Sus scrofa: one gene and its partners. The protein of the gene in region 4 interacts with the protein of the main gene of each other region in a biochemical or structural test. Links are inferred from orthologs where the notes say so. Each region holds a gene or a part of one and is shown on either strand. Other genes may lie near its edges. The genes, in order: KIRREL, CLDN4, CGN, TJP1, JAM3, JAM2 and CLDN7.

Region 1 (4,271 bases), on a different chromosome or scaffold from region 4:
CTGTTTGTAGGAATTTGTGATTATATTCCCATTTCTCTGGGTTAGGAATGCTCTTTGTTTTTAAACCGTCTGTTAGCCTGTACATATGTGGTTTTGAATATATGGAGGACTCTCTGGGTCTGTGCATAGTGTGTTTCTGAATATGAGTTTTTGTGTTTTTCTGTCTGTGTTTCTGTGTCCTCTACATGTGGATGTGCTTGGACCATTCAGGCTGGCGTCAGAATCTGTGGAAGGTGTTGTAACAGCATATAACCAGCAGGGGGCACCAGAGAGCCATGCGCCTTTGCTCCGGGGCTGAAATCCAGAAATCTTGGCGGGTAGAGTTAGGGACCCAGGAATCTGGGAGGAAAGAAGAGGAGACCTCTCCAGACCAATACAATACTGTAAAGTTGTGCAATTCCTGTACAATTTCTGTTATTTCTCCTCAGCTCACTCCCTAGGACCCAGCGGTCAAGCATCCCCAACCCTGTGAGATGCAGAATCAAGGAGTTTGGGAGAGAGGTTGTGTGTTAAGCTGAGCCCTTTAAGAAAGAGGAAACCCTTCCTGAAAGCCCTCATCCCTCTCACTAGGACTTCTCTCCCTTCCCTGTAGCCAGCTCTCTCCACCCCAAAGGATCTCCAACTCTATGCTTGGAGATCTTCGTGTGGCTGCCCTCTCCTTGGCCTCTGAAGCCTTCCAGTTGGCTCCTTTCTCCTCTGGATGGGTAGGTGCCCAAGATAAACAAAGGCAGGAGTCCACTGTGCCTCTCCCCAGTCAGCTGAGGACTCCAACCCAGTCTGGTCCCACTGTGTGCTCGGCGAGGCCCCGAGGCAGGGGCTCTGGGCAGGTCCAAGAATTCTAGGATTCTCCAGCTTTGGGGTTTGGAGGTGGGAAGAAGTGTGTATCCCTCTCCACCCCTAACCTTCATGAGTCTTTTGAGAATTCCCAATTTGGGGGATCTAGGGGTTAGATTCTGGGTGTGGAATTGACAAATAAAAAAAAGATTTGATGCTTTTCGATTCCATGAACCAGCGCCTGCCCACCCCCTCCTCTCCCATACACGCTTACACACACCCAAACACACACAAACACTCACACACCCTTCCCATCACAGTCATTCCCTGGGCTAAAGGCTCGTCCTCAGCCCATGCCCCGCCTCCCCAATCTGATGCCTAGCTCCGTAGCCCGGGACTAAGGTTGTGTATATAAATGGGGGGGAGGTGCGGGTGGGCAGGGATCCGGCCGTCCCAGCGCCCGCGACTGTCACGTTCATTACCCCTTTTGCCCTCCACCGCTTTCTCTTTTGGTCTCTGTCCATCTCAGTTCCAGCGAGGGGTGTGAGTGAGTGTGTGTGTGTGTGTGTGTACGCGCGCGCGCACGGTGGGGGGAGCGGGGGGGGAGGGCTGTGGAGGGAGGCGCCGTCGGAGGGAGAGTAGACGTCAGGAGGAGGGACAGAGGAGGGAGAGAGGGAAGGAAGAGAAGGGGAGAGAAAGGGAGAGCAGAGACCGAAAGAGACCCCGAGAGATAAAGCTAGAGGCGAGAAATAATAAAGGGGAGAGGGGAAGGACAGAGGGGGGCGGAGAGAGAGAAGAGGGAGAGAGAGGTGGGGAGACGGAGAGGGACGGGACCGGGAGGAAAGAGAGATAAAGAGAAGCGGAGGGAAGGGAAGTGAGTTTGTGCGCGCGAGTGAGTGTGCGTGTGAGTGTGTAGGGGCGGGCGCGGGCGGTGGGGGGCGGGCTCCCGGGCTCCCCTCCTCCGCAGCCCGCTCCTCTCGCTCCCTCGCCAACTCCGGGCCCCAGCCGCGGGCGGGCGCACGGCGGGCGGACAGCATGCTGAGCCTCCTCGTCTGGATCCTCACTCTCTCCGATACTTTCTCCCAAGGTAAGGGCCCCCCGCCCGCGGCTGCCCTCGGCTCCCACCCCCACCCCCCCGGCCGGGCTCTGCGCCCCCGCCGTGGGGAGCACTGGGGGGGGGGCGGCCCGCGGCAGGTCCCGGCGGTCGGAGACGCCACGAGGCGGGGGCTGGGGCCCAGCGCGGAGTCCCGGGGGAGGGGGCGCGGAGTAACGGGGCCCGGCGCGGAGGAGTTTTCCGTTGATTTGCCCAAGTTGTTTCCTCTGGCTGCGCGGGAGAACGGAGAATCGGGGCCGCGGGGGCCGGGGGTCGGAGTGGAAAAGGGATCCGGAGGCTCCAAGTCTTTTCCGGAGCCTCTGGCAGCCCTGCCTGCCTCCACCCTCTGAGGCCAGGAGTCCGGACGCCTGGGTCCTGGCCGGGGGAAGGCTGCGGAGAGGGTGGGATTTCAGATGCTGGGAGGTGGGAGGTGCGCGGTGCGCGGTGCGCGGAAAGCCGAGGACCCCCTGCTCCGGAAGATGGAGCTGAGGGAATCCCTGTCCTCCATCCAGCCGAACCCCTGGGGCGGGGTGGGGGTGGGGGTTCTGAGCCTGAGCCGCGGCTCCTGACTGCCTGGGGCTGCCCCCTCCAGGGGAAGGGAGGGTTGCCTCCGGGCCTCTGGTGGGGATTTGAACCCCTGCCCGCGGAGGCTCCGGCTCGGGAGCGGAGTTCCAAAGGCAGCTTCAGGCCCGCGCGATATGGAAAGGGGCACCTGCAGGGGAACTAACACCCCACTTGGGGTCAGGAAAGTGGGGATGGCCGGGGCTCTTTTTGGGACTGGCAGGGGAGAGGCTGGGAGGTGGAGGGGGATGAGAATGTTAGTGTGTCCTGAGGCTGGGCTGGAGGGGACGCGTGCGGCCGCCAGGGGAACTGAAGAAATCCAGGGCCCAGACTCCAGCCAAGACTGGGGTCTGTGGGAGTGGATTTTTGTCTCCTGGGGCTGACTCTAAGGAAGATTTAATCCTGCTGAGCTAGCTCCCCCTTCTCCCTCCCCGCCCCGCAAATGGAGCTGACACACAGAAATTGACACACAAACACCCAAAACCAGTCATAGACACTGAGACAGACTATTCACCTATGGAGACAGACATACCCGCGAGCATCCCCCACACGGAGACAGACACATATACACAAAGACACTGACACATCTGAGGAAGACAGGTTCCTCCCCCTTATCGGCACATGCGTGCACATTCATGCACCCAAACACATCAAAACTCACAGACACAGTACATGTATGCAGGCAGGCATTTACAAGGACACCACACACACACACACACACACACACACTGAAACCCAGCTACAGATACCTAACCCTCCAGCAAACAAAGAAACTTGAAGAGACATTCATATAGGCAGACACCTATGGAGATGTACAGACTACAAAATGGAGGAGGTGGTCTCCTTTTTTGGGGTGGTGGGGCCGTGGGAATCCAGGAAGAAGGAAGTTAGCTTGGACAGGTTAGCCCTGCTCTCAATCCCCTTCCTGGGCTGGTGGGTGTGTGTTTAGGGGTGGGGTGTTATGCTGGACCCCTCCCCTCCCCTCCTGGCCAGGCCCCTCCCCAGCTCTGAAGGCCAAGCCAGGCTGAGCTGGTGGAGGTGGGTCCCCATCCATCCCCTTAGAGCCCCCCAACCCCCCCCCCACAGACACACACACACACACACACACTCAGAATTTGGGAAGAGCGCGCATCTGTGGTGTGAGTGGAGTGGGAGGTGGTGCCGAGGGAGAGGAGGTCTGGCCCTGGGGTTGGCAGGCCAAGCCAGCCACTTGGCAGAAAGTTGGGAAGATGACTTAAGTTCTGACTTTGTTCAGCCAGGCTGCTGGAGAGGGTGAAGGGGGGAGAGGGGAGGGCCCACGGTGGTGGGGGAGGGGTCGGCTGGGTCAGTATTGGTATGTGATGGGGGCAGGCCTTGGTCTGCCCCTTTTCCCGCAGCCCTAATGTGTCAGCAACATGGATACGAAAAGCTTCCAGGAACAAAAGCTGCAGTTAGCAAACGGGAGAGGCATGTGGATCGAGTCGGGACAGAAATGGGCTGGGAGAAGTGTGTGGAGTGCCTTTCTCCCTCCGAAAAGGGAGGGGGAGGGGGAAGGGGTCGAGGTTAGCTGAGCCCCCATGTCGCCTCCTCCAGGACCCGATGAAAGTGTGCAAACGTGTTTGGGGTGGGGGGAGGGGATAGCAAAGGGGGAAACAAGGGGACCGAGCGGAGGGGAGAGGAAGCCACTCCTGAGTGTTCCTAGGAAGCTGAGCTAGGACTGGGAGGAGGCAGGGTGGGAAGGAGAGGGGATCTGGGGAGACTGGGACACTCATGGGGGGCCGGCGGAGGGGAAGGTGATAGGACCTCCTTCCTCAGTTTCTGTCCTTAGAAAGAGAGTTCTAGGTCTGGGACTGGGGCAGTGAGA
Region 2 (2,766 bases), on a different chromosome or scaffold from region 4:
TGAATCTGTTCTGGTTCCCAGAACTTGCTGCCTTTCCACACCTCGGGCACCTTTGTCCTCATTGTTCCGTCCCCTTCACCTCGTCCCCCAGCCTTGCACAACTCCAGGCGGCCCGTCCCCGGTGATTTCTGCCATCAGAGTCCTCCTCAGCACAGGCCAAGAAGTTAGCGCCCCCTGGAGTTGTGCCAAGGAGCTCCCCCTGCCTGTTGAGCCCCTTTTCCTGGAACCCCATCTGCTCTGAGCTCCCCCTCCCCTTCCAGGTCACAGGGGACTTTGCTCCCATCCTGCCTTTATCGGACGACGGTTTTGTGTGTCTTCACTGAGTAAACACCCATTTGCTGGGCTGAGGTCCCAGGGTCTGGCCACGGTTTGCTCTCAGCGACCTCCCCAACCCAGTTTTGGCCAAAGAGGCTCAGCTCTGGCAGGAACTGGTGGAAATGTCGGGGGGCAGGGGCCGGCAGCCTTCCTTCTTTCTTTGTCCGAAGGAGCATCACCTCCCAGACCCCTCCTCCTCCAGCAGGGCTGGGAAGCCAGATGATGGTGCCGAGGGATGGGGAGGGCAGGTGATGGACCCAGGAGCCCAGGCCCCCCAGCTCCTGGTTCCTTAAGCTGGTCCCTCCCTGGTGAGGCGGATGCATGGATGGTGAGGCTCTTAATAGCCATTATCAGACCAGTGACGGATAAGCTGATAAGGACTCATTGCAGGGATCAGGGTACAGCTGCCCTCTGAAGTCCCCAGGGCTGCATCCTCAGATCCTCTCCCTGAGGGTCTCCGCTCCCGCCCCCGCCCCCGCCATCCACCCACCCAAGCCTGGAATGATGGAGCCCCGGGGGGTGGGGACCCAGGACCTCAGGTCCCGGACCTGAAGGCTCCCCTTCCGGCCCCCCAGGTATGTCCAGGTGCGTGTAGGCTGTGACTCAGTGTCTGTCTCCCGTGTGACTTCAGCATGGGCCTGGGGGCCGGGGGAAAGGGCAGTTTCCTCTGATACTGGCTCTCCAGGGTCATGACTCAGGGGCCCAGGGCTGGGGCCTTAAAGTGCCTTTGTTGGCAGGCTCAGGAATCTAGAGAAACTGGTCAGGGGGGCGGCTCCTGCGACTGAAACCCCTCCCTCGCCCCCGCCCCTCCCCCGCAGCACCATATAACCTCTCCACTCTGTGAGCAGGTGGCACTTTGGCGGCAGGAAGGAACTAGTCTGCGAGCGCTTGCTGGGCTTGTGCCTCTGACTCAGGAGAGACGCTTCAATCGGCTTTGCCTCTGGACTTGCGGTGAAAAGCCTCTCTTCGGACGCTGACTGGCCATCGGTGTTCAGGTGTCTGGACTCTAACAGCCTCCAGGGCCGGACCCCACAGCCTTCCTTCCAGCTCCTAGACCCCAGCAGAGCCTGAGCCATGGCTTCCATGGGGCTGCAGGTGATGGGTATCGCCCTGGCCGTTCTGGGCTGGCTGGGGGCCATCCTGAGCTGCGCGCTGCCCATGTGGCGCGTCACGGCCTTCATCGGCAGCAACATCGTCACGTCGCAGACCATCTGGGAGGGCCTGTGGATGAACTGCGTGGTGCAGAGCACGGGCCAGATGCAGTGCAAGGTGTACGACTCGCTGCTGGCGCTGCCGCAGGACCTGCAGGCGGCCCGCGCCCTCATCGTCATCTGTATCATCCTGGCCGTGCTAGGTGTGCTGCTGTCGGTGGTGGGCGGCAAGTGCACCAACTGCGTGGATGATGAGAGCGCCAAGGCCAAGACCATGATCGTGGCCGGTGTGGTGTTCCTGCTGGCCGGCCTGCTGGTGATGGTGCCCGTGTCCTGGACCGCCCACAATGTCATCCGCGACTTCTACAATCCCCTGGTGGCCTCGGGCCAGAAGCGGGAGATGGGTGCCTCGCTCTACATCGGCTGGGCTGCCTCTGGCCTGCTGATGCTCGGTGGCGCCCTGCTTTGCTGCAACTGCCCACCCCGTACCGACAAGCCCTACTCAGCCAAGTACTCCGCCGCCCGCTCCGCCCCCGCCAGCAACTACGTGTAAGGTGCTACCGCCGATTCTTTTCCTTTCAGCTTGGTTTCTCCCTGGACTGCAATCTGTGACTCCAGAATGGCCCTGCCACGGGCCGCAGGCTGCCAGGGCTGGGCAAGCAGGGACTGAGCCGGGCCGCTGGCCAGAGGCCCCTCAGCGCCTTCTGACCCTCTCGGACACCTTCCCAAGGCCACTTCCAATGCTAGCAAGGATGGATGGAAAGAGACTCCTGCGCTGCCCTCCTCTGAATGGCTGTGGATACTGGGGGCTGGCTCCTGCTGGCCAGGACAGCTCAGCCCTGACTTTGCGTGGGCTCTGCCTCTGAGTGGACAATGTCTCCTCCTTTGACCTTCCCCACTGCCTCCGCCGGCATCCTCTGGGTGGGTCAGCCAGCACTTGGGCTGTGCCTTGCCCACAGAAACCTGTGGCCATGAGATCGGCTGCCTTGCTCACCCACCTGCCCGTGGAACACAGTCACCGGAGTGGTGTGGACAGACAGGTTTAGAGGGGAGGGGCAGAGGTGCTACAAACTGGTTTGGGTAGTGGTGGGGGAGGGGGCCACAGAGGCTGTCCAGGTGGCCCGCACCCCTTCCTGCCCCCACCCTGCCACCTCAGGGCTCTGCCTCTGCAACCTCAGCGGGCGGACCCTGGGCCCCTCGGAGACTGGCCACCTCTGGAATCTTCCACCCCTGCCAAGGTCATTGACTAGCCTGGGGAGGGCAGGGAGGACAGTCTTCCTCTGGCCCTCAGCCAGGAAGC
Region 3 (3,500 bases), on a different chromosome or scaffold from region 4:
AGTTGTCGTTGACCTTGAGCCCTGGGGTCTGAGCCTCCTCTCCCTGAACCGGCCTCAGGCTCAGATGGCAGCAGAGGCAGAGGCAGCAGTGCTGGGGCAGCGTCGGACGGCAGTGGAAACAACACTTCGGGAGACCCAGGAGGAGAACGACGAATTCCGACGGCGAATCCTGGGTCTGGAGCAGCAACTGAAGGAGGCGCGAGGCTTGGCGGAAGGCGGGGAAGTGGCGGAGGCACGGCTTCGGGACAAGGTGCAGCGGCTGGAGGTCAGTACTTTCGCCGATCTTGTTAGCTTCCTCCTGGCGCTGTCTCCTCATCCCTGCCTAAATCCTCAGCCATCACTTTGATTTTGTGTGGACTGTACTTTTGTTTGCCTTCCCAGCCTTCTGGTAACCTTGGGTTTATTTCCTGGCGTATGCTTTGGTGTGACTTTCTCAAGTGTCACTGGCATTTTTGTCTGTCTTCTATCTACTTTTTGCCTGTTCTCTGTTCTTCGCTGGGTCCTCTGAGCCTGTTTTTGTGGCCCACCTTTTTAAAACAAGCATCTCTTCCTCCTTCCTCCCATCCACTCACCTCCAAATGGCTTGAGCCCAAGGTTCGCATCCTGTCATCCAATGGTTCTCTCCTTCCCCATCACAGGCAGAGAAGCAGCGGCTAGAGGAGGCCCTGAACACAGCTCAGGAAGAGGAGGGGAGCCTGGCAGCAGCCAAGCGGGCCCTGGAGGCACGGCTGGAGGAGGCCCAGCGGGGGCTGGCCCGCCTGGGGCAGGAGCAGCAGGCGCTGAACAGGGCCCTAGAGGAGGAGGGGAAGCAGCGGGAGGCCCTCCGGCGCAGCAAAGCCGAGCTGGAGGAGCAGAAGCGCTTGCTGGACCGGACTGTGGACCGGCTGAACAAGGAGGTGGGGCCTGGGGCGGCCTGGGCTCAGGAAGAGGCTCCGCTCATATCGAAGCTTGCCTGGCGGGACAGGGGGTGGGAGTTGGGGTCACATCGTGTGGTGGCTGCTTTCCTCAAGTTCATTGTTGGGGAGGCCGAGGCCAGATCCTCAGAGTGGCATCCTTCCTACTTCCCTCCCCTGATGGTCTTGATCCTTGGAGAACATTTCCCGGAGTTCCTCCTAGAAGTCTATAGGCCCAAAGAGCAGAATGTTCATTGGTAGAGTTTTATATTTGGAGGAAGAGAAAAGACCTATAATCCCTCCTGAGGCATCTGTAAGACCTAAAATAAGAATTTTCATTGGTAGACTTTTATGTTTGGGGGAAGGGAAGGAAGAAAGGAAGAAAAGGAAAGAAACTGCTCTTTTGGGCTAAGGTTCTCTTACTCTCTCACTGTAAAACTGGAGCAGACACATCATATGTTTCATCTGTTCTAAAAGGCACATTGTGTCATCTCTGAAATTGATTTGTGTCTTTTTTCGTTTGTTTTTTGTTTTTTTTTGCCTGTTTCCAGGGCCGCTCCCACGGCATACAGAGGTTCCCAGGCTAGGGGTCTAATCGGAGCTGTAGCTGCTGGCCTATGCCAGAGCCACAGCAACGTGGGATGCGAGCCGGGTCTGTGACCTACACCACAGCTCACGGCAACGCCAGATCCTTAACCCACTGAGCAAGGCCAAGGATCGAACCCGCAACCTCATGGTTCCTAGTCGGATTCATTAACCACTGCGCCATGACGGGAACTCTATGAAATTGATTTGTGTCTTATACGAATGTGTTATAGCTTAACGGGCAGATTTTTCTTTTAGCGGTACGTCTTAAAATAATCATTAGCATCTTGGGTTTGCTGAAATGTGGTCATTTAGGGTTTACTTTGTATCAGGTACTGTTGTAAATAACTTTAACATAATTAGTTAACATTCTTACAACACCCTTGTGATGGAGATACTGTTATCATCCCATTTTACAGATGGGAACCTGAGACCCAGACCCATCTAATAAGCGGTAGAGCCAGGATTCGAATCCAGAAAATTTATATATTACTACCAGCTATACTAGGGACCTAGGTCCAGGAAAGAGAAGAGAGAACTGCTTTGGCAGGAAGGAGGCTCTGGGAGAGTCTTGAGAGTCTGAGCCTGGAGAAGGGACAGAGGCGTCTGTTAAAGAGATGCAGTGCTGAAATAACTCTTTTTCTGTGTTTTAGCTGGAGCAGATTGGGGATGACTCCAAGCAAGCCCTGCAGGAGCTCCAGTCTCAGCTGGAGGATTACAAGGAAAAGGCCCGGCGGGAGGTAGCAGATGCCCAGCGCCAGGCCAAGGAGTGGGCCAGTGAGGCTGAGAAGACCTCTGGGGGGCTGAGCCGGCTTCAGGATGAGGTAGGACCCTTAAATGGCCAGAGGATGGAGTGGGAACCCTTCCAGCGTCCTTTAAGGGATCCTGGGACCTGGGTTTAGGTATAATCACTTAGGTGGGAGAGTTGGGTGGCAGGGGGGTGTTGTCCACCCTAGCTAGGTACAGACAGTAGGGGATGCATCGTCTGTATAGGTGTGATTTGCAAACTCTGCTGCACATCAGGGTCACCTGGGGAGAGTTTTAAAAATCTCAATACCAGGAGTTCCCTTCATGGCTCAGTGGTTAATGAACCCGACTAGCATCCATGGAGACTCGGGTTTGATCCCTGGCCTCACTCACTGGGTTAAGGATCCAGCATTGCCATGAGCTGTGGTGTAGGTCACAGACACGGCTTGGATTTTGTGTTGCTGTGGCTGTGGTGTAGGCCAGTGGCTACAGCTCTGATTAGACCCCTAGCCTGGGAACCTCCATATGCTCTGGGTGCAGCCCTAAAAAGACAAAAAAAAAAAAAAAAAAAAAAAAAAAAATCTCAATACCCAAGATATATCCTGTACATCTTAAATCCTAACTCCTGGGGCTGGGATCCAGGATCCATCGTCTAAGAACTCTTTAGGTGCTTTAAACTTGTGTGGAGGGTTTTAAAAAGACAAAAATGAAAATGGGCTAAAAGTCATTCTTTTTTATTACCACCATGTTCTGGCAATTCTTAAGAATGTCAGTGTTGAACTATTTCTCCCCGCAGGGTGGACTGCTCCCACCCCTCAACCTCCACCTGACCTTATCTGAGCTGTTGCATTTTTCCTTTCTGACCAGACTCAGAGGCTGCGGCAGGCCCTGCAGGCATCCCAGGCTGATCGGGACACAGCCCGGCTGGACAAAGAGCTGCTGGCCCAGCGGCTGCAGGGGCTCGAGCAAGAGGCAGAGAACAAAAAACGCTCCCAAGACGATAAGAGCCGACAACTCAAGAGCCTTGAGGTGAGGACACTGAGGGTGGGAGAGGGAAGGTGATTGGGGTGGCGGGGGGTGTGGGGGGGTCTGGATCCTGGCACAGGTGGGATATCTGTGGGGAAAAGAGCCAGGATACTCCAAGCCTCTTTCTATACTAGGGATGGAGAAGTAGCAGCCCACAGCTGATGGATTTTGTTTGACTGCAGTGTTTTAAACAACTTTGAATTCATTGCTACTGTTTGGAAATTTATAGATGTCACATAAAATTTGGGG
Region 4 (4,027 bases):
ATACACAAATCATCAAAAAATACTAGAGCCCTGGAGAGTGTGCGCGCACCTTACTTTGCCCCTTGAAAAACCAGATGAACATCTGCAAATCTACTTAATATTGAGTGGAAATTCTGAATGCTCATTTAAGATTGTGGAAAAGCACAACAAAATCCTCCTGCTCTTTCCAGGCTGCCTCTTTTTAAGACGTTTTTTAATGCTAGCCCCAGTCACTGCCTGCCTTGAACGTGACTCTCTAGAGGAAAGATGTTCTTTGTGTTCTCTTCACAAACTCTTTATTGGGGAAAGCAGTTGTGAAAACCGCCCTCCAGTGATCAAAAAGAATAAACCTGCTTTCTTGACCTTGGGACCAATTGCTGCTAATATTCATACCTAACAGCTCCTCGAACATTATCTCCATATCTTGGTTTTTAGATGTAACATCAAAAAATTTTCCTTAACTTTCTTTCCCAGTTACATATTATTAAGAATTCATTTAGGAGTTCCCATCGTGGCTCAGCAGTAAGGAACCTGACTAGGATCCATCAGGATTCGGGTTTGATCCCTGGCCTTATTCAGTGGGTTAAGGATCCGGCATTGCTATGAGCTGTAGCTTAGGCTGGCAGCTACAGCTATGATTCGACCTCTAGCCTGGGAACTTCCATATGCCACAGGTGTCACCCTAAATAGACAAAAAAGAAAAAGAAAAAAGAATTCATTCATTTAGGATTCCTCCTGTGGCACAAAGGGATGGACAGCATCTCTGGGCTAGGACACAGGTTCAATCCCCAGCCTGGCACAGTGGGTTAAAGGATCTGGGGTTGTCGCAGTTGTGGCTCGGATCTGATCTCTGGCCCAGGAACCCCATGTGCCACAAAAAAGGGGAAAAAATCATTTATTCAATACACATCTTTTGAGAACTGATTTTGTACTAGACACTAGCTGCAAGGAATTCAGTAGTAAACAAAACAGACAAAAAGCCCTGGCCCCATGCAACTTACATTCTAGGGCGAGGGAGAAGTGACTTACATAAAACTTTAGTAAAATATGTAGTTTGTTCAATACTGATCAGCGCTCAGAAGAAAAGGTGGATGGGGATTAAGACTGTTGGTGTGGACCTCTGCTGTTTTTGCTGTAAACATTCATCTAAAAAGTTATCTTCAATTGTTACTTCTTTTTACTTCATAATATCACCATATCCTTTTTTTTCCCCTGCACTAGAGTCATGTGGAAATTGCCAGGGCCAGGGATCCAGCCCACACCACAGCAGCGACAACACTGGATCTTTAACCTGCTTCACCACAAGGAACTCCCCGTGACATATTTTTGATGTATTTACTAAAACCCTCTTCCATGAACATTTCTTAATTACAGCCAACTTTTATCAGCCTAGTCTTCCATGTGTTGACACTTGCTGTTCATCAAATTAAAATACCTTCTGCAGAATAAATTTCTGTTTTTAAACAACTGGGAGGCAGGGAGAGGAAGACACTAACATTTACTTGGCACCTACTATTTGGCCAGGCATAGAAGCAGGCAGGCACTTTGTATTTACCAGGGCTTCTGATCTCCATATGACCCCAAAAGATAGGTAACATCGTTCTCCTGTTACAGAGGAAGAAACAGATACTCCAGCAATTGTCTAAAGTCACACAGTAAGTGTGGCATGGCTGAAATTTGAACTTCGAGGCCCATATTTTTCAGTCTCTCCTCCAAAACTTTGCACTACTGGGATTTTTTTTTTTAATCTTCTGTTTTTCTTGGCTGATCGATCTTTATATTCTTTGGATCGTTATTACATTTTGTCTTATATAGCAAAAATTTTACTTTTCTCCAGTGCCTAAAAGCGGCCTCACATCCCTTCTCCATAACCTTAAAATTAAACTGGACTATGTTTAATGGAATCGAATAAACCTCTCTGAACCATATTAACCACAATTTAAAAAAACTTGAAGTGACCCCTGAACTCGAAGATCACTGGCACCTTTTTTCCCCCTACAGTCACCATCCCCTTACCTGAGCACTCCTTTTGCTATAGAACCTCACACCTAGGTCCTAAGTCGATGGAATGAATGCCTAGGTAGTCACTGGGATTTCACAGGGCATATTTAAACGCTAATAAAACGCAACACAATCAGAGATAATCAACTATGAACATCAGATATGGATAACCCCACATTTTCTTTCTTAGGGGTATTCTTCCCCATCACCCCAACAGCAGTTCCCAGGTTGGAAGAACTGGACCGCCCGCAGTAAATTACAGTCCCTGAAATCTCAACAATGACCCGCCACTGACGCCCCGAGCGAGGGAGCGGCGCGCCCTTGACCGCGGACCGGGCAGAGGATGGATTCTGAGAAAGCTCAGAAAGCGCTCGCTGATAATACACGGTTCGCTGCCTCCGCGTCAGCCCGGCTGGAGATTCTCAGCCAGAACCCGCAGCGGCGGAGACCCGGGGACCCGCCCCGCCGTCGGCTGCACACTCACGGTAGTCCAGGCGAGGGTCGTGAACGCGCCCCGCCCCCGTCCCCCCACCCCCTTCCCCGACCCTGGTCCGCGCACCCCGCGCCCCGCGGCCCTCACCACAGCTTCCTCTTGAGCGGCAGGAGGCTGCCGCGGTTGGACGGCGTGACGCCGATGGCCATCTGCAGCACCGTCAGGTATTTCTGGTACTTCATCTTGTCCCCGCTCCGCTCGCGGCCAGGGCCTCGCCGCCGCCGCCGGCGCCGCAGACACAGCCCCTCCAGGCGCCGCATAGGTCAGCCCTGGGCCATCCGCCGCCCCGCTCCGCCGCCAGGCTCCGCTTCCACCGCCGCCGCCGCCGCCGCCTGCGTGCCGGCCGTGCGCGTCCGGGCTCCCGTTCCCGCGTGCGTGCGTGGTCTCCGCTCCCGCCGCCGTGCGTGGCCGCCGCCCCCTTCCTCCCCTACCCACCCAGCTCCAGCCCCGCGCCGCGCGGCGCTTCACACCCGCCCGCGAGCCCGCGCCCGCCTCTGTGCCGCCGGCTCCCAACTGCGGGCGAGGCCGCCCCTCCAACCCCGCGCCGCCCCAGCGTCCTCCGGTCGCACAGCGCGTTCACTCCCACAAAATCCCAACCACAATCTTCCAGAGGAGAAAAAAAAATTTTTTTTTTTATAATTACTACTTGACACCATCATTTATGTGCTCCACCCAAAGTGTGTGCACGTGTTGTGTGTCTGTAAAATGCACGCACATACACATGCTGTTTGTATGTATAATATGTGTATATATGTCGGTCCTCTCTGGCAGGCAGACCAACTGTGGAAACAACCCTGAACCGTGCAAAACTATCTTAAAAAGAGTCGACGGGAAAAAATGAAGACTGTTACACCGACCTTGAAACATTTTGTCCAAACATTCCTAACTCTTCACTGGTGGTTATAAGTGTATAGAGAAATGGGAAAATAGCAAAGCGAATCATTTGTTGTACTGTAAAACAGTGCAAACGTTGAGAACTGAAGTGTTTTATTCCTTTTCTTGTCTTTTTAGGGCCACACGTAAGGCATATGGAAGTTCCTAGGCTAGGGGTCAAATTGGAGCTGTAGCTGCTGGCCAATGCCACAGCATAGCAATCCTAGGCCAAGAGCTGCGTCTGTCACCTACACTATAGCTCAACGTGGAATCCTTAACTCACTGATGGAGGCCAGGGATGCAAGCAGCATCTTCATGGATACTAGTCAGGTTCCTTACCTCTGAGCCACAGGGGAACTCCAAAGTGTTTTATTTCTTGCAACAAAAAAGTAACGAGTAACATAAAGGGTGCTTGTCTTTTCCTAGAAGAGTTGTTATATACCCACAGAGCCTGTTTTCTGTGTCTTGGCAAAGAGTCATGTTTGGATCACTTTCAAGATTTTATCCTCTGGGTGATCACTGTGGTAGAGTATATTAGAGTTCCTTTAGCCTTATGTCCTCTGGGACATCATCATCCTTTCTGTCACAGTCCACTGTCCTCATTCAAGCTTTCGTTTGGTACATTCCTCTGGCAGCATGTCCAGAGTCACTGGAAAGGTGGCAATGTCAGCATTCCCACAG
Region 5 (3,500 bases), on a different chromosome or scaffold from region 4:
TTCCTTCAGGCTGCTTGACAGGGGCCGTGAATCTCAAATCCAGCAACCGAAACCCAGTGGTACAGGAATTTGAAAGTAAGTACTAGGGAGGCATTCAGCGAATGGGCACTACTTGGTAGACTTGCAGCCAGTGAGGGACAGAGGCCCACGGATGTTTCATGTCCAAAAGCTGGAGGTGGGGGTGGGGTTTCTTAGCGGACACGGTGCCAGGATAGCACTGCTTCAGTAGCCTCTGGGGAGCTCTGCAGGCTTCCTGTTGGCTAAACTCTGATTCCTGGCCTAGCTTTGCATTTACACAACCAACAACATTCTTATATACAAGAATATATATCAGGGGAAGCATGTACTCTCTTTAGTAAAAGTCTCTGCTAATCATCTTAATTGTTTTTCTGGCTAAAATTAAAGTCTCTTGGAGCCTGGAGCTAGCTAGATTTTTAAACTGCAGGACAGACCTAAATAGATGTAGCTTGCAGGGTCTGAGTATACAAGTTAACCTAACATTGCTCCACAAACACTAAGAGTTCTTTTTTTCCTCTTCTCATTAGGTGTGGAACTCTCTTGTATCATTACGGATTCACAGACAAATGACCCCAGGATTGAATGGAAGAAAATTCAAGATGAACAAACCTCATATGTGTTTTTTGACAACAAAATTCAGGGTATGATCCTGTGGTCCTTTCCTTTGTACAGAAGGCCCAGGCATGCATTTGTGGCCAAGACTTTGCTCTGACTGGACCTGTGTGTGTGGCCAGGATTGGTTTTCTGTCTTGTTTTACTTATGGAAAATTCAAGCTTGCAGTAGTGAGAATGGTGAAGGGAGCCTCCCTGAACGTGTCACCTGGTTCAGTAAATATCACTTTGTCAGTTAGAGTTTTAGCCCACATGCAGCCATCATTTTGAGGTATCAGAGGAAGGTTTTCCTATGCCACTTCCCCATCATGACCCACAACATTATAAGCTAAATGACTTATAATGAACCCTACGGAGCAGCAGGAGGAAAGCAGTGTCCACTGTGCTCCTCCTAGGAAGGCAGTCAGCTGGATGTCAGCACCCTCGCATGACAGGGGCAGCTCAGTGGTCAGGGGATGCTTCCCCAGGAGTGCCATCCAGGCGGAGGTGTCAAGGGAGGTGAGCTGGTCAGGCGGGGGCTGCAGGCAGGGGCTGGGCCAGGAGCACATGCAGAAGAGTGGAAGCAAAGTGAGCTTCTAGGAGGAACCGCAGGCTCAGCTGTGAGCCAGGCGAGGGCAGGAACTGAGGCCCCAGGCGCTTGAAAGCTCTCCCCAGGACACCGAGGTGGTTGCTCTGCAGGGCAGGGCCCAGTTCGGGATTCTTCTGCAGAGGCCAGGAGTGAGGCCAGGGTCATGTGGAGAGAGCTGAGAGGAGCTGAGATGGGGTGGGGCGGTTACTCCCAGGGAGCAGTGTGTGTGAGGGGGTCAGCACAGCTTCAGAGGTGATGGGGCAGAAGGCCACCACAGGCCCTCTGAGAACTGACTGGAGGTTTCAGGGAAGGGAGGGAGGCTTTGTGGAAACAACCGAAGCCCCTGACCTTTCTGCCTCAGCTCCCCCACATCATCAGGGGTCATGGGCTCTTAGAAATAGCTTTGTTTTCCCACAGTGTCCTCCCCGCCTCTCATTTTTTGTAGAGATGGAATTGTTACTCTCTGGCAGCCTCATTGGGCGATTCCTGATGAGCCCTGACCGGGTGGGAATGTGTTTCTGGGAATTAAACACCTTCCTCTTGGAGGGGAAAGGGGAGGGGTCCGTACCATACAAATTAGAGGCCTGGACAAAAGCTTGAAGCTCATGGTCTCCTGCTTTATGCGGATTTGTCTTGACTGTTTCCTCATATGGTGGACATTCTGACCCCGATGACGACCAGATGACAGCCTTCCCCGTAGAAAGCACCTTTGGAAATGTTCGTCCTCTTATCACGAGCCTTTTGCTGTGGTTATTACGTTCTGGTAAATCTTTCCTATACTTGTCACCAGTTGGCAGGTTTAGTAATAATTCAGTCCTCATTTTTGTGTCAATTTTTTTTCGAATTCCTTCCCTATTTGTCACTGCCTGGGATCTTAATCCTTTGAAAAGAGTTACTATGTCTTTTAAGTGTTTTAATTGAGATACAGTAATTCATATTCTGTTTTGAAGTGTGTACTGGGTTAATACATTCAGCAAAGATAATGTGACCACAATGTCAAATTCCAGCACTTCTTCCCCTCCACAAAGAGACCCTGTGTCCACCCCGTTTCTCTGTCTGGCGGCCCCCGAGCTACTTTGTCTCTGGATTTGTCTGTTCCGGATGCTTCCTATAAATGGAATCACACAGGATTTGGTCCTGGCTTCTTTCACTCAGCATATTGTTTTCAAGGTTCATCTGTGCTGTAGCAAGTGTCTGTTCTCTGTTCTTTTTTCTATCAGTGAATCATATTGTTGTAGATATGCCACATTTTATTTTATTTTATTATTTTGTTGTTGTTGTTGTTATTGTTGTTGTTGCTATTTCTTGGGCCGCTCCCCGCGGCATATGGAGGTTCCCAGGCTAGGGGTTGAATCGGAGCTGTAGCCACCGGCCTACGCCAGAGCCACAGCAACGCGGGATCCGAGCCACGTCTGCAACCTACACCACAGCTCACGGCAACGCCGGATCGTTAACCCACTGAGCAAGGGCAGGGACCGAACCCGCAACCTCATGGTTCCTAGTCGGATTCGTTAACCACTGCACCACGACGGGAACTCCAATATGCCACATTTTAAATCCATTTCATCCACTGCTGTATATTTGAGTTGTTTCCACTTTCTGATTGTTACCATGATATTCATAAACATTGTACCAGTTTTTGTGTGAATGCAATTTTGCACTACTTGGGAATAATGGCCAGGAGTACAATTGCTGGGTTGTTTGATGTCACATGGATAATTTTTTAAAGAAACCACCAAACTGTTTCCCACCATGGTGCACAGTTTTATGTTCCCTCAGCAGTGTTTTCTCACGTCCCCCAAACACCTGGGTGATCCATCATTTTGATTCCAGCCATCCTAGGGGCTGTGAAGCGGTAGCTTATTATGGTTTCAATTGGCATTTCCCTGGCAACTAATGATGTTGAGCATCTTATGCTTATTGTGTATTTGCCTATCTTTCTGGAGAAATGTCTATTCAAATCCTTAGTCCATTTTTAATTAGGTTGTCTATTTATTGAGTGGCAAATTCTTTATATACTAGTATATTAGTCCTTCATCAGATATATGATTTGTAAATACTTTCTCCCATTCAGCGGACCATCTTCTCACTTGCTTGTGTTCTTTGAAGTACAAAAGTTTTCATTTTTGTTTTGAATCCACCTGCAGCATGTGGAAGTTCCTGGGCTAGGGTTCGAACCCAAGCTGCAGTGACAACCCTGGATCTCTGATCTGAGCCACATAGGAACTCCTAAAAGTTTTAAATTTGTTATGAAAGTCTATCGAAGGCCAATATAACTTTGTGTTTGGGAGGAAGGGGAGAT
Region 6 (4,278 bases), on a different chromosome or scaffold from region 4:
GTTGAGGGACATTCTACAAAATATTTCACTAATACTCCTCAGACCTGTCAAAGTGACAAAAAACAAGGGACGTGTGAGAAACTGTCACAGCTAAGAGGAGCCTCAGGATACAGAACTATTAAATGGAAGGTGGTGTCCTGGCTGGGAGCCTGGAACAGAAGAGGACATTAGGGAAGGATGAAGGAAATCTGAATAAAGTGTGGACTTCTGTTAAAAATAATGTATCCCCAGGAGTTCCTGTCATGGTGCAGTGGTTAGCGACTCTGACTAGGAAACCATGAGGTTGTGGGTTTGATCCCTGGCCTTGCTCAGTGGGTTAAGGATCCAGTGTTGCCGTGAGCTGCGGTGTGGGTCGCAGATGTGGCTCGGATCCCGCATTGCTGTGTCTCTGGCGTAGGCCGGCGGCTGCAGCTTCGATTAGACCCCTAGCCTGGGAACCTCCATATGCCGTGGGAGCAGCTCAAGAAAAGGCAAAAAAAGACAAAAAAAAAAAAGTATCAATATTGGTTCCTTAACTGTGACAAATGGATCATACTAATGTAAAATATTCATAACGGGGGAGTGGGTGTGGTGTGTATGGGAACTCTCTATACCACATTTGTAATTTTTCTTTAAATCTAAACTGCTATGAAAGTTTAAAAGTTTGTTTTCAAAAAAAAAAAAACAAAAAACAAAAAACAAATAGAAGAAAACATTCTTGCAGTACTAGGCCTTCTGGCATCCCAGGACCAATACAGAAAGGATCACTACCCACTTCCAAGTTAATCCCTACAGGAGTCAGCATTAGAAGGAACGATGTGTTAGCTTTACCTAAAGCTTGAAAAAGAGGTAGTCTGTTTCTATTTTTGACTATTGAACAAGATACCAAAGTAAAATCATTTTCTCTGTTTTTAATTAGTGATAATTCTCCACTAAAGTCAGTCCTTTTTATTTGAAATTTAAGGCTGTCAGTAAAATACATAACTCTCCTAGCAGTTTTGTTACAATATCTCCAACCTGCTTCTTTGTTGCCTTCGACAGCATTAGTAATTTTTTTTCTGTGTTCAACATGATACTAATTGATATTTAAAAATTGCATAGTGGTTTTATTGTGAAGCCTTGACTTTCTGGTTTGATTTTTTATAACATAGGGCAGCCCATGTCCCTTCCCTGAGACAACTTGACCTTCCACTAAGGGACAAAAACCCACACCACACTGAGCTTGGCAATACTCACTTAGGCAATGAGAGAGCCAGAAAAAGTCATTATATTGTGGTATTAGACACTCGTCCGGCAGATTATTTTAAGTATTATATTACCAGAACTTGGATAGCAATAACAGTAATCCATTCTATGAAAAATAAAAGGAAAGAAAAACGAAAGAAAAAAGGAAAACTGTGCCGAAGTGCTTAAGAGCTATTGTCGTTTCCTCCATTTTTCTAAAAAATTAACGCGAGGATTTGAAATCTTATGAGCCCAGAATCCGTGAAAATCCTGTTTAGAACCATCCCATGAAATTGGCTTTGGGACGTCTCCCGCTATTCTATCATTCGGCTTTTGTATCTTTCTAACAATCATCCCCTTGCACGTCGCTTGAGGACACAGCAGCTGGCTGGAGCGCCCAGACCAGACTCCTCTAACTGAATGTAGATGTGCAGGTGGCGAGGATAAAAGTAATTCTGGCTCAGCAGCCCCGAATTCCCTCCCACCCCTGACCCAAAAGTGCACTACATATGACTGGTGCAACTGGGACCCCCAGAAGCCAAAAATACTTTAACACCGCCCCCTCCTCTGGCACTTAAGAGGGTGGCCGGCGCCTGGCTCTGAGTGATGCCATCTTGGGATCTTAGCATCTTCTAAGGAGTTAGTGAGTTTTGCATTCTGTTCACGTCCCTGTGTCTGTGTCTTTGAAAACTTAACCCAACTTTGTAAGAAGGTGAGAACCTGCTGGTGTGGATTCTTAATTTTCTCTAACTGGTACTGACAAAAAGCAGATGCTATATACAAGGAAAGGAAGACCTCGGGCTCCCCGCCCCTGCTGGCACCCCGGATTATGGGCTCGCTGAGTGTCTGGTTAGACACCCGGCCGCAGAACCCTCGGCCCAGAGCCCTGAGACAGCCCGCCGCCAGCGCCGCGACCAGGGGCTGTAGGTTTGGGGGAGGTGGTCTCCGCAGGAGTGGGTGGGAGGATGGAGGTACCCCCAGCAACTTACAGTCCAGGGCGACCACCAGGTAGCGCAGCAGCAGCAGGAGGAGGCGGTGGCGGCTCCTCCTCGCCATCTTCGCGGGGTCGGAGCTGGCGGCTCCTCGAAAGCCGAGGGTCTTGGTGGCGGGACCGCTGGAGGCCGGCGGGGGACTCCCTGAACTTCGGTGGCTGAGAGAAGAGACGCGTGCAGGGCAGGGGAGGGGCGGACCCTGATGGGATGTCAGTTTCCCTTTTCCAGGGGCGCCTTCTCCGCGGGCTGCCTAGAGGCGGGTCTGGCCTAGACAGGGGCCTGAGGGTCTGGGCAGTTATTTTTTTTGGGGGGGGGGTAAGAAGGGGCGGGCAGTGGGAGCCGGACGAGGTGTTGCCCGGGTCCTAACGAGGGGGCAGGAGGAGGCGACGAGCGGAAGGGAAGCCCTGGCGGGGCGGCCCCCGCCCCCGCGCCGCCGGGATTGATCGGCTTTGTGTCTGGTCCGGCGCGGGGCTGCCAGCTGTCCCCAGGGCGAGGAGCCCGGGCTTGGGAGGCGCTGGCCGCCGGGATCAGGGGGGTGGGGCACGGTGCAAGAGGGCACTCCGCCTGCCTTGGTCCAACTCCCCTCTCCTCCTCCGCACAAAAGTTCTTTGGGGGTTTTCAGCCTAGGGGTGGAGATATTTGGAAAATTCTGGCCAACCCGCGAAGCTGCGAGGGAGGCGCTCCGGGGAGATGGGGTTCTCCGGCTCCGCCTTGGAGGCGAAGGGGGGAAAAAAAACAATTGAGACTCGTGCTGGAAGGCAGGTCTCAGATGTTAGCCATCGCCTTGGCTCCTTCTCTGTGTAAGTTTCCTGCTTCTTAGAGGGTTAAGCTGTGTTTTGTGTTCCTTGCTTTCCACGTGTCAGAAGTTCATCTAACGGTGTGAAATATTTATCATGTTTCTTTTCAGTTATATAACTGCCGCCTGTGGAGTTTTCCACATGTTAAAACTCTACAGCTGCCCTTTGTCAGGTTTATTTTTGGTCTACAGTGCTTTTAAAAGGGAAACCCATTATGAATGCTCTGTTGCGTGCTTTAAAATTGACCCGCACTTACATCGCACACAGTACAAGGGCTAAACGGGAAATTTTAAAATTTCCTCCTAGGGACCAAAAAATGTCTGGTGCATTTAAGAGTATTGACAGGTCTGGAAAAAGGCCATTCCTAAGAGATGGAATTGTTCCCCATGTGTTTTTTAAACTGTAGAATAATGGGTAAAGTTCTGCATAGAAGACAGTTGATTTAGTGGTGTGCACGCAAAGAATTTAGCTTAGCTCAGTGGACAAAGGCAGCCAGAGTTCAGATATGCAGAGCTGTGAGGAATGAGGCGTCCCTACTGTTTCCTTGGTGACAGTGATGGAGGCTTTAACGCCCATGGTGGGAGAGGGGCAGAGGGGACCCAGAAAGGAAAATTGAAATGGCAAAAATGTTAGAGCTGTACCCAGTCGAGCAAGGAGAAAGGACGTGAACAACAACGAGCTTATGCCAGTTTTTCTGGGCTGTGACAAGAAAGATTTAACGCTGCAGAAGAAAAGTTGTTGGCATCCTCTTTTCTCATTCTTGCCACAACTGTTTCTTTTGCTCCTTCCTCCCTACAGATACACACAAAGTGGAATTTTTTTTTTTTTAATTCTGTGACATCCTATGTGAATAACTGATTCACTGCGTTATCTGTCACCAGGCAAGGTGTTTGTCAAAGAGCTGCGATGTGCCGGATGCTGGAGGACAGTGATTTACAAGATCGAGTCTTTGCTGCTAATGAGCTCACAGTCTTGAGGAAAGACAGTGAGTTCCATCTGGAAAGACCTCTAAAACCACATGGTAAGTGTTACTGGGGGACAGAAAAAAAGATTTTTATTGAGTGCTTTCTCAGCAGAGTCTGAACAGGGCACTATCTAATCCTCCAACAACTCTGTAAGAGAGAAAATATTATCATTCCCACTTTACAGATGAGACAACCTGTCTGAGAGATGCTAAGGAGCTTGTTCAAGGTCAAGGATAAGAGGATGTTCCTATGTTGGGGATGCATGTAATGTACACACATCCTCCCATTTAGGCATGGAAAGTTAAGCCACATTTTAAACGG
Region 7 (3,693 bases), on a different chromosome or scaffold from region 4:
GAAGAAACCCGAGGGTGAGGTGGGAGTCTGCGGGCTGAATTAAAGGCCCTATTAGAGCCAAGACGTCCTGGGAGACCGAAGGTGAAGGGGTGGGGGGGACGCACAAAGAGGCAGGTCCAGGATCAGAAGGAAGGAGAGAAGTGTGTGCAGGGCTCAGGGAGGAGGTAGAGGAAAGGTGAGGACGGCTCACAAAGACTCCAGGGAGGGGAATGACAGGTGTGGCCAAGACTCTGACCCAGCCTTTCTCTGCTCCCACCCTTGCCTGGCTTCCGGCTCAGTGGTTTCTTCCTTCTGCTATAAGCACCCTTGAGGCGGGGTGGGACAGTGACCTTGGGGACGTGGGGTACCAAGGGCCCAAACGCTGTCACGTCAGGCAGGGACGGGGACGCCAACCCCGCTGCTGTGGGCAGTTCTGAAGGATTGGAGCCAGAGCCCCTGCAGGTGGGATTGGCTACTAGGAGAGGACGCTGAAGGGAAAAAGAGAAGCGCAGAGGATGAGGGCGAAAGTAGGGCGGGACAAAGAGCGCCTAGGGTGGAAACCGAGAGTCCCCGCGGGCGGGAAAGGCGGCATCAAGGCTGGCCCGGGGCATCCCCCCCACCCCGCTCCGGCTCCACCGCGTTCCTGGCGCACCTGTTGGGGAGAGGGCAAGGGACAACCTAGAGCCCCAGGGACCTCCAGTCCAGAGGGGCTTACTCTAAGCTGGGGACTCCGGCGCAGACTCCGCCTCCTCCCCTCCGGCGGTCTGAGCCCGGCTAGTCGAGGGGCGTGACCCTGGTGCTCAGGTTTCTTCCTCTTTACCTGGGCCGGGAGGGGTGGGGGCCAGGACTTCCGGCTCAGGTGAGTGTCCCTTTGGTGACGTCAGGTCACCCTCGGCCGCCCCTCCGGCCCCTCCCCCCTCGCGCTCCCAGAGCCCGCGGGGGCGCGCCCCCGACGCCCTACATATACTCAGGTGCGCCGCACCTGTGCGCCCGCACCTGCCTGCTCACCGCCGAGCGACCTCGGCCTCGCACTGCAGCCTCGGGCCGAGAGCCCAGGGTACCTTGGGACTTCCACTCCGGGACCGCGCCCCTACGGCCCCTCCACCTTTGTTTGGGGAGGGTCGCCGAGCGCACGGGAGGGAACCGCCTGGTCTTCGCGGATCGCTTTCGCCGGCCACCAACCCTGTTCCCTCTGCTGTGAGGCCTCTTCGCCCCCACCCCCGTCCCAGGGGTCGATTTGTGTTTACCTCGGTGACTAGATTTGCAGGCACTTGACCACCAACTTTTTTTTGTCTCCTGGACTGACTTAAAATTCGCCCACCCGGCGCCCCTCGTCTTTTCTCAGGGCGGAAATGGCCAACTCCGGCCTGCAACTGCTGGGCTTTTCCATGGCTCTGCTGGGCTGGGTGGGCCTGGTGGCCTGCACCGCCATCCCGCAGTGGCAGATGAGCTCGTACGCGGGGGACAACATCATCACGGCCCAGGCCATGTACAAGGGGCTATGGATGGACTGCGTCACGCAGAGCACAGGCATGATGAGCTGCAAAACGTACGACTCGGTGCTCGCCCTGTCCGGTAAGGCCGTGGGACCGACGGGGCGGACGCGCCCAGGGCCGAGGTTGGGGCGGGGGGCGTGCGGGGTCCCAGGGCCCGACCTTCTGGGTTGCCTGGGAGCAGGTGGGAGAGGAGGAAGCGGAAGCGGTCGGGCGGGAGCCGTGGGGTCGGCCGGCCGCGGGCCTCTGGGGCTGCACGTGCGCGCGTCCCGGGCCCGCGGCTCTCCTCTTGGCCCTGGAGGAGCCTCGTCCCCGGCTTGGCGGCCCTAGCGCCTCCCGGGGAGCCGGGCCTTCCCCCCTCCCCCCGCCCCAAGGAAGCAACGGCCTCCGCCTTCTCCCGCCCTTTTCTCGGACGAAAGGCGGCTTGGGCTGGAGGCCGCCGGGTCGGGCTGGAGGCCGCCGGGTCGGACTGAGGGCCGAGGAGCCGTGCGCCCTGTCGGGCCTGGGCGGCTGCCTGCGGCTCCTAATCTTATCGGCCGATTAGCCAAAGCCACAAACCGTGGCCTCGATAGTGGGGTCAGAGCTGGGACGAGGGCCGGGATCCGCGGCCGGGGTTCCGGGGCTGCGGCCACCAGCTCGCCTCCTCTTCGACGTCCCCTTTCACCCTTCCCCCTCCCTGGGGCAGTTTCATCGAAACCCTGGCGCCCCGGGCGGATCCTAGAGCCGAAAGGGCGGGGCGGAGCGGGAAGGCCGCGGAGTCAGGAGGGGCGGGATCCACCGGCTCTGGCCCGGGACCGGGAGCCAAGGGGGCCCCAGACTAGCGACCAGTGGGGCTCGGTCAGCGACTCAGGAGGCTGGAGCCCTCCGAGGGCCGCTGGCATTTCCAGCAACGATGGCATCCTTTTGCCTTCTCCGCAGCGGCCCTGCAAGCCACCCGAGCCCTAATGGTGGTCTCCCTGGTGCTGGGTTTGATGGCCATGTTCGTGGGAACCATGGGCATGAAGTGTACAAACTGTGGGGGAGACGACAAAGTGAAGAAAGCCCGTATAGCCATGACTGGAGGCATCATTTTCATCGTGGCAGGTGAGCAACAGGTCTACGGTGGGCCCAGGGACTCTCTTCCGGGCCCATCCTGGGGGGTGGTGAGGGCCGGCGTGGTACTGGATTGGGGGGGGTGTTCACAATGTCTGAATCCTCATTTCTTCTCCAGGTCTTTGTGCGTTGATAGCTTGCTCCTGGTATGGCCACCAGATTGTCACAGACTTTTATAACCCGTTGGTCCCCACAAACGTGAAGTAAGTATGGGAGCCCTACCTTCTAAGGGTCTGGGGTCCGGAGAGGCAGGCCAGGGCTTCTGACCCCAGTCCCATCTCTCCACAGGTATGAGTTTGGCCCTGCCATCTTCATTGGCTGGGCAGGGTCCTCTCTGGTCCTCCTGGGAGGTGCGCTGCTCTCTTGCTCTTGTCCTGGGAGTGAGGGCCAATCTGGGTACCGTGCACCCCGCTCCTACCCTAAGCCCAATTCTGCCAAGGAGTACGTGTGAGCTGGGCTGCCCTGCCCCAGCCTGGCAGCCTATAGGGCACCCCAGACATCTGAAAGGACCTGGGGCAGAGAGCTCAGCCCGTGGGCAGAGTGCGGAGCAGAAGCCTGCGGTCACTCCAGCCTGGCACACTGTGTACAGTTCCTGGGGGGTTGGGAGGGGGGACCAAAAGGGGAGAGTGTGTGCTTTTTGTACAGTAATAAAACTATGTTTTGGAAAGTAGGCTTTTATTCTCCCTTCAGAGCATCTGCTTTCTTTCAACTCAGGTACTTGCAGGGAGCCTAGAACCTAAAGTGTACCTACTTGTTTAAAAAAAAAATCACTTCCTGCCACCAATGGGGTGCAAGGCCTTGCCAGCTCCACCCTTCTGGCACCCAGGCCCCCCATTTTGACGAAAGGGACTATTGCCAGTCTCCAGTCCCATTTGCTCCCAACTCTTGTTTAAATAGTGACCAAAGAGGTTTTTTTTAAATTAAAAAATAAAGATTTTATTAGGCTGGGGAAGGGCATGGGGCTGTTCCTATCCTCTCACCTCCCCTTCTGCCCCCCCCCCCCCCCCCCCGCCTGCTTTCTGTCCCACCTGGAAGCTGCTGCCTGGCTCATGGGTCACAGGGCAGGGCCTTCAGACTCAGGGAACAAAGTCGGGGCAGAGACAGGGTGAGGCCACCAGAGACAAAGGAA

The links.
Region 1: the proteins of TJP1 (region 4) and KIRREL form a complex in vitro, tested with the Homo sapiens proteins (3 studies listed by BioGRID and IntAct, with this or other methods). The link is inferred for Sus scrofa from reciprocal best matches to the Homo sapiens genes TJP1 and KIRREL1.
Region 2: the proteins of TJP1 (region 4) and CLDN4 form a complex in vitro, tested with the Homo sapiens proteins (2 studies listed by BioGRID and IntAct, with this or other methods). The link is inferred for Sus scrofa from reciprocal best matches to the Homo sapiens genes TJP1 and CLDN4.
Region 3: the proteins of TJP1 (region 4) and CGN form a complex in vitro, tested with the Homo sapiens proteins (2 studies listed by BioGRID and IntAct, with this or other methods). The link is inferred for Sus scrofa from reciprocal best matches to the Homo sapiens genes TJP1 and CGN.
Region 5: the proteins of TJP1 (region 4) and JAM3 form a complex in vitro, tested with the Homo sapiens proteins (2 studies listed by BioGRID and IntAct, with this or other methods). The link is inferred for Sus scrofa from reciprocal best matches to the Homo sapiens genes TJP1 and JAM3.
Region 6: the proteins of TJP1 (region 4) and JAM2 form a complex in vitro, tested with the Homo sapiens proteins (2 studies listed by BioGRID and IntAct, with this or other methods). The link is inferred for Sus scrofa from reciprocal best matches to the Homo sapiens genes TJP1 and JAM2.
Region 7: the proteins of TJP1 (region 4) and CLDN7 form a complex in vitro, tested with the Homo sapiens proteins (2 studies listed by BioGRID and IntAct, with this or other methods). The link is inferred for Sus scrofa from reciprocal best matches to the Homo sapiens genes TJP1 and CLDN7.

Annotation. Positions count from the first base shown.
Region 1 is NC_010446.5:92,288,088-92,292,358, reverse strand, and holds the start of KIRREL (kin of IRRE-like protein 1), read left to right. Parts: upstream 1-1,471; 5' UTR 1,472-1,809; coding exon 1,810-1,861; intron 1,862-4,271. UniProt on the Homo sapiens protein: Required for proper function of the glomerular filtration barrier. It is involved in the maintenance of a stable podocyte architecture with interdigitating foot processes connected by specialized cell-cell junctions, known as the slit diaphragm.
Region 2 is NC_010445.4:11,051,054-11,053,819, forward strand, and holds CLDN4 (claudin-4), read left to right. Parts: upstream 1-1,227; 5' UTR 1,228-1,389; coding exon 1,390-2,019; 3' UTR 2,020-2,266; downstream 2,267-2,766. UniProt on the Homo sapiens protein: Can associate with other claudins to regulate tight junction structural and functional strand dynamics.
Region 3 is NC_010446.5:97,709,999-97,713,498, reverse strand, and holds part of CGN (cingulin), read left to right. Parts: intron 1-58; coding exon 59-265; intron 266-638; coding exon 639-896; intron 897-2,131; coding exon 2,132-2,302; intron 2,303-3,092; coding exon 3,093-3,254; intron 3,255-3,500. UniProt on the Homo sapiens protein: Probably plays a role in the formation and regulation of the tight junction (TJ) paracellular permeability barrier.
Region 4 is NC_010443.5:145,193,058-145,197,084, forward strand, and holds the start of TJP1 (tight junction protein ZO-1), read right to left. Parts: upstream 2,801-4,027; 5' UTR 2,734-2,800; coding exon 2,561-2,733; intron 1-2,560. UniProt on the Homo sapiens protein: TJP1, TJP2, and TJP3 are closely related scaffolding proteins that link tight junction (TJ) transmembrane proteins such as claudins, junctional adhesion molecules, and occludin to the actin cytoskeleton.
Region 5 is NC_010451.4:60,702,245-60,705,744, forward strand, and holds part of JAM3 (junctional adhesion molecule C), read left to right. Parts: intron 1-9; coding exon 10-75; intron 76-545; coding exon 546-659; intron 660-3,500. UniProt on the Homo sapiens protein: Junctional adhesion protein that mediates heterotypic cell-cell interactions with its cognate receptor JAM2 to regulate different cellular processes. Plays a role in homing and mobilization of hematopoietic stem and progenitor cells within the bone marrow.
Region 6 is NC_010455.5:189,198,311-189,202,588, reverse strand, and holds the start of JAM2 (junctional adhesion molecule B), read right to left. Parts: upstream 2,801-4,278; 5' UTR 2,260-2,800; coding exon 2,193-2,259; intron 1-2,192. UniProt on the Homo sapiens protein: Junctional adhesion protein that mediates heterotypic cell-cell interactions with its cognate receptor JAM3 to regulate different cellular processes. Plays a role in homing and mobilization of hematopoietic stem and progenitor cells within the bone marrow.
Region 7 is NC_010454.4:52,612,056-52,615,748, reverse strand, and holds CLDN7 (claudin-7 precursor), read left to right. Parts: upstream 1-1,159; 5' UTR 1,160-1,331; coding exon 1,332-1,554; intron 1,555-2,390; coding exon 2,391-2,555; intron 2,556-2,682; coding exon 2,683-2,767; intron 2,768-2,852; coding exon 2,853-3,015; 3' UTR 3,016-3,193; downstream 3,194-3,693. UniProt on the Homo sapiens protein: Plays a major role in tight junction-specific obliteration of the intercellular space.